2 linked regions of the Saccharomyces cerevisiae S288C genome follow. The protein of the gene in region 1 interacts with the protein of each later gene in a pairwise test. Each region holds a gene or a part of one and is shown on either strand. Other genes may lie near its edges.

Evidence for each region. The genes of interacting proteins can lie anywhere in the genome.
Region 2: the proteins of ERG2 (region 1) and ERG24 interact in binary tests that used the Saccharomyces cerevisiae proteins (3 or more experiments, as listed by UniProt).

The regions. Positions count from the first base shown.
Region 1 is NC_001145.3:665,861-668,705, forward strand, and holds ERG2 (C-8 sterol isomerase ERG2), read left to right. Parts: upstream 1-1,676; coding exon 1,677-2,345; downstream 2,346-2,845. Other genes in the region: DNA repair protein RAD14, read right to left, coding at 1-1,073, 1,158-1,184; TOM complex pore protein TOM40, read left to right, coding at 2,632-2,845. UniProt on the Saccharomyces cerevisiae protein: C-8 sterol isomerase; part of the third module of ergosterol biosynthesis pathway that includes the late steps of the pathway. ERG2 catalyzes the reaction which results in unsaturation at C-7 in the B ring of sterols and thus converts fecosterol to episterol.
Region 2 is NC_001146.8:108,595-111,996, reverse strand, and holds ERG24 (delta(14)-sterol reductase), read left to right. Parts: upstream 1-1,585; coding exon 1,586-2,902; downstream 2,903-3,402. Other genes in the region: pheromone-regulated protein PRM1, read right to left, coding at 1-1,080; HCH1 (Hch1p), read right to left, coding at 3,069-3,402. UniProt on the Saccharomyces cerevisiae protein: Delta(14)-sterol reductase; part of the third module of ergosterol biosynthesis pathway that includes the late steps of the pathway. ERG24 reduces the C14=C15 double bond of 4,4-dimethyl-cholesta-8,14,24-trienol to produce 4,4-dimethyl-cholesta-8,24-dienol.

The DNA of each region.
Region 1 (2,845 bases):
TCAGTTTCTAGCCCGCAGTCTGTACATCTTCTTCTTTGAATTTGATAACCGTCTTCATCAATACCTCCATCAACTGGATCACTAAAATGATGAATATGGGCTTTCCCATGCTTCTTTTCTCTTAATCTATTAGTATATTCTTGAGCTCTTGTTTTCAGTCGCATTTCCTTGATTTTCTTTTCGTATTTTTTCTCCCTTCTGTGAGCCTTTCCTTCTTCACGACGTTGCCATTCCTCATCTAAACCTTCTTCTCCACCCCATTTCTTGAACGCAAAGGCTTCCACTTCACATCTAACAAATAGTTGCATTCTTGCAAATGTCCCCGAATGAGGGTTCGGCTTTTCTAGTCTATGAAAGAGATCCTCATCATTCAATTCGGGGTCTGTTAAAAAGTAATCTTCCTTACATTCTGTTTTCGTCAGTAGTGCATACTTTTCTGGATGCTCCTTAGAACACTGTTTACAAACTTGTAACTTGAACACATCATGTAGCACAGGATCCATCTCAATATTAATATGACATTCAATACATTTCGGCGCCTTTGAAATATGCTCTGGAGGAGGTGCATTTTCGTACAGCATTTTCCGTTCAAGTTGTTCCTTTTTCCAGTCCTGTAGTGTCTTCTGCTTTTTAGATCCAAACTCAGATTCAAATTCTTGGTCATCGGTAAAGTCAGAATTTGGAAGCTTGTCCTTAGGGTTGATATAACCACCATTCAAGTTCTGCATGGTGGCAAAATCGTACTCAATGTAATCTTGTTTCCTTATGCTAGGTCTGATTCTATCCGTTGGCCTTTTGTCGAGTACCGACGCATCCCTTTTACTTCCATCAACTACTCCGCTACCATAAAGTGAAGTAGTGTTAGTGTTAGTGTTAGCAAGCGCAGACGGTTGTCCATTATGATTTGGCACATGTACTGCGGCTGCTGCATTATCATCCCGATTGCTGCCACTAGTAACTGCGAGAGGCCGGGTTTTTAAAGGTTCATTCCTACTTTCTATTCGATTCAATTGGTCGCTACTCAGTATTCCCCTTTTTCTTAACCGTTCTATTGCTAATTTCCTGTTAGCCTCCTGCACAGCTCATCTCATCGTTAAATTGTTAGTAAAAAGAAACCCACGGTTAAAATACAAACACAGAATCATTTTCACACATACTAGTTTGGCCTTTTGTTCGGGAGTCATAGCGTTACGTTCGATACCTTCACTACGAAGATCCAAACTCTTTTTCTAGTTCCGATAAATTCCTTACCTTCTTTTCACTTTCCTCTTTTCTCCCTACAACTTAGCAAACGTCAAACATGCTGTAGATAGAGCTTCTATAGAAGTACAGTTATTCAAACAAAAAAAAAAAAAAAAACAAGGGTTGTGGAGTATGCCACTAGCAGTCTGCTATGTTGATTCTGCTTATTATCAACGAAGTATCCCATTATGATCTTATGCAATGCACATTCCTGCCCTTACGCTCCAGGGCAGAATCGAACCACGGCCCTCGTATAAGCCGCAAGGAAAACTACCGGTGCTATCGTTCTCGTTTGGATGATTTTCAGTATGGAAGAATTTGGATAGATCTGCAGCGCCATGGTATATAAGAGAAAGAAGCGGTAACGTTTGACACTGGGTTCAGATCTCTCTTGTCGCTCAATCAAACTAAGACTAGCCCAGACCATTATAGCCATGAAGTTTTTCCCACTCCTTTTGTTGATTGGTGTTGTAGGCTACATTATGAACGTATTGTTCACTACCTGGTTGCCAACCAATTACATGTTCGATCCAAAAACTTTGAACGAAATATGTAACTCGGTGATTAGCAAACACAACGCAGCAGAAGGTTTATCCACTGAAGACCTGTTACAGGATGTCAGAGACGCACTTGCCTCTCATTACGGGGACGAATACATCAACAGGTACGTCAAAGAAGAATGGGTCTTCAACAATGCTGGTGGTGCGATGGGCCAAATGATCATCCTACACGCTTCCGTATCCGAGTACTTAATTCTATTCGGAACCGCTGTTGGTACTGAAGGGCACACAGGTGTTCACTTTGCTGACGACTATTTTACCATCTTACATGGTACGCAAATCGCAGCATTGCCATATGCCACTGAAGCCGAAGTTTACACTCCTGGTATGACTCATCACTTGAAGAAGGGATACGCCAAGCAATACAGCATGCCAGGTGGTTCCTTTGCCCTTGAATTGGCTCAAGGCTGGATTCCATGTATGTTGCCATTCGGGTTTTTGGACACTTTCTCCAGTACTCTTGATTTATACACTCTATATAGAACTGTCTACCTGACTGCCAGGGACATGGGTAAGAACTTGTTGCAAAACAAAAAGTTCTAAGCTGCCCGACCTCACGAAATCAGTCATGCGGTAGTCCATTATAATATAACTATTATTATTATTACTATTACTATTATTATTATTATTATTATTATCTATTGTTTATATTCTCTTTAGCTTTTTATCACCTACGACGACGGATATATTCGGCGTTTGCAAAAAGTGAAAAAGGCGTCTTTTGGTGGACATGAACTCAATCTTCAATTCTTTGAAAGCGGTGTATGCGTATAAGGCCTTTTAACCATCGTGCAAAACAATAAAAGACTACCAATAACCGACGTGAATCATGTCTGCACCAACTCCATTAGCAGAGGCCTCTCAAATTCCCACTATCCCGGCCCTTTCTCCTTTGACTGCGAAGCAATCCAAGGGGAATTTCTTCTCCTCAAACCCAATATCTAGCTTTGTTGTGGATACGTACAAACAATTGCATTCTCACAGACAATCTTTGGAGCTGGTCAATCCCGGTACCGTGGAAAACCTGAATAAGGAAGTCTCCC
Region 2 (3,402 bases), on another chromosome or scaffold:
ATCTCTAAATGGATCTTTCAATTCGTGCGTGTTTTCACTGGAAAAGGACGTATACGAATCTTGCCTGCTCAGCATGTAATGGTCTCTCATTCCGCAAAGGCGCCTCCAGAGCTTGATTTCATTCCATGCAACGGGCGCCATCGCACCAACAGCGAAGCATATCAATACGGTAATGCACACTACGGTGGCTATTTTCAGGACATGTCCCAAGATGGAATAAAAGGCCAAAATTTCTGATTGATTGGATGAGCAAATCCCAGTACTGTTGTCAAGGGACACGGGAGGTACGTACAAAACGGAGGTATCTCCGATTATATTGCTGGCATTCACGGCCTTGATATTCTTCCGAACTTCATTGAAGGGAACCGAGATCAGGTTCTTGGTTGTATTCTTAACCTGGGCAAAGTCCGGCGTCTTTGCCGATAACTCTTCAAGCTTATCGTTGATTGAGGAAGGAATGTATAAATTGTGAAGCGCAGATATGGTTAAGTTGACGCTTTTGATTGACGACGTCATGTTACTGTCATCGTCATCACCTGTGAAAAAATTCTCTACTTTGGATGCGGCCTTGATCACTTTATTGATTATTTTGGAGATGTCATTCAAGCCCGTATCCAATTCATTAGCCACACTTGAAACTGTATCATTGACTAAGCTAATCAGTTTTTCTGTAATGTTAGTAGCAACGTCCACGGTACCATCAACGGCACTAACAATCAAACAGGCATAAGTGCCCAAATACAGGTCAATGGCAAAGTTTACCAGCCCCTCGCTCGCATATACTATAAGTGATAACGTCTCTAGCGTAGCTTTAACAGTCTCCTCCATACCCTTCTCGATAAGATAATTCCCCATGATACCTAAATAGTGCGGCGTGTTGTCTGTCATCTTGGAGTATAGTGAATCAATACTGTAACAATTGGACAAAATATACGTTTCCGAGACTTCTATCGCATGTTGTATGGATTTGGAGAAAAACAGAAGCTTCAGCATTGCTAGCAGCAAAACCAAAGTATACTTATTTAGCCATATTTGAGAGAGCCTGTCACCCAATTGCAAATAGCATTTAAAACCGCTCATATCATCAACGTTCACAAATTCGAAAGGGAATCATCCTAACCAAATATTTCGGGATTATCTTAAGGACTTATGTTGGTCACATTCGTCATATATATATACCTCTTGCCAGCAACAGGCCAGTTATAAGTTAAAATTAATATGTGACGCACTTCTGAAACAGTATTGAAACAGTATTGAAACATATGTATTACCCGGACTCTGCATGCTCTGTCGTTCATTTTATTTTCACCTAAACGAAAATCCCGTGAAAAAAATTTATATCGCCTTTCGCTCTTTTGTATGTAGGCATCATCGGAAATTTGCATTGTGTGAAGGTTGTGCATATAAAGGGTTTTGCATAACGGACGTTTTTCACGTACTCCGTCTGAGCATCAAGTGAGGCTTGAGTTTACGTTTGTTTTTAATAATCAGTTTTCATTCTACTATTTTCTTGCGCAATTGCTTATCAGATAGACCTTGTAAACAGCATAGGAGTAAAGACAAATTCGGTGTAGAGAATAAAAGGATGGTATCAGCTTTGAATCCCAGAACTACAGAGTTTGAATTTGGTGGGCTGATTGGTGCCTTAGGCATCAGCATAGGGCTGCCTGTTTTCACTATCATCTTGAATCAAATGATAAGGCCCGATTATTTTATTAAGGGATTTTTCCAGAATTTCGATATAGTTGAGCTTTGGAACGGTATCAAGCCATTGCGCTACTATCTGGGCAATCGTGAATTATGGACTGTCTATTGCCTGTGGTATGGAATACTGGCAGTTTTGGACGTCATTTTACCGGGCAGAGTCATGAAGGGTGTTCAGTTAAGGGATGGTTCGAAGCTTTCGTATAAGATCAATGGAATTGCCATGTCTACAACTTTGGTCTTAGTTTTGGCTATCAGATGGAAATTGACTGATGGACAATTGCCTGAATTGCAATATCTGTATGAAAATCACGTTAGTTTATGCATAATATCTATTTTGTTTTCGTTCTTTTTGGCGACGTACTGCTATGTTGCCAGCTTCATACCATTGATCTTCAAGAAAAATGGTAATGGCAAAAGGGAAAAGATCTTAGCACTAGGTGGAAATTCAGGAAACATCATTTACGATTGGTTTATTGGTAGAGAACTGAACCCTCGTCTCGGCCCATTAGATATCAAGATGTTTTCAGAGTTGAGACCCGGCATGTTGTTATGGTTACTGATCAATCTTTCCTGTCTGCATCACCATTACCTGAAGACTGGTAAAATCAACGATGCATTGGTCTTGGTTAATTTCTTGCAAGGATTTTACATTTTCGATGGAGTACTAAACGAGGAAGGTGTATTAACCATGATGGATATCACTACAGATGGGTTTGGTTTCATGCTAGCGTTTGGTGACTTAAGTTTAGTTCCATTCACCTACTCATTACAAGCGCGTTACTTGAGTGTTTCCCCTGTGGAATTGGGATGGGTGAAAGTTGTCGGTATATTAGCCATAATGTTTTTGGGTTTCCACATCTTCCACTCGGCAAATAAGCAAAAATCTGAGTTTAGACAAGGTAAATTAGAAAATCTAAAAAGTATTCAGACAAAGCGTGGTACAAAGTTATTATGTGACGGGTGGTGGGCTAAATCACAGCATATCAATTACTTTGGCGATTGGCTGATTTCATTAAGTTGGTGTTTGGCCACCTGGTTCCAAACTCCCTTGACATATTACTACTCGTTGTACTTCGCCACGTTGTTATTACACCGTCAACAACGTGATGAGCACAAGTGCCGCCTGAAATATGGCGAAAATTGGGAAGAATACGAAAGAAAAGTTCCTTACAAGATCATTCCATATGTTTATTAAGTTTTTCTACCACTGCTATTTTCTTCATTATCTATGTATGTGTGTATACATGTTATGTATTGGGTGAGTATGAGGAAGAAGAAGAATAACAATTGAAAACGCTGGAAAAATTAAAAGGGGCGGTGGTCTATCTATGCAACGCTCCCCTTTTCGTTACATGAACACATCAAACTTGTATATCCTTTGAGTGTTCTTTAATCAAGTCATCTTGGTATTTTAGTAGCGTTTCCACTACTTTAGGGACAAATTCAGACCTAACCAATCCATCAAAAGCATCAAACCCTTGCGACAAAATCGGAATATCAGACTCGTCATGCATAAACTCTGGAATTTCTAGTTTCCCGTCCGCAAGTATGCCGTCATCATCCTCGTCGTCCTTATTAGTATCCAAATTTGTCACTTTGACGTTCATCGACAACTGTAAGTCAAAGTAGCAAATCGGCTTGCCCTTCCTTTGAGATACGTTGGAGTCACCGGTGATGCTACTCACCTGGGTTAAC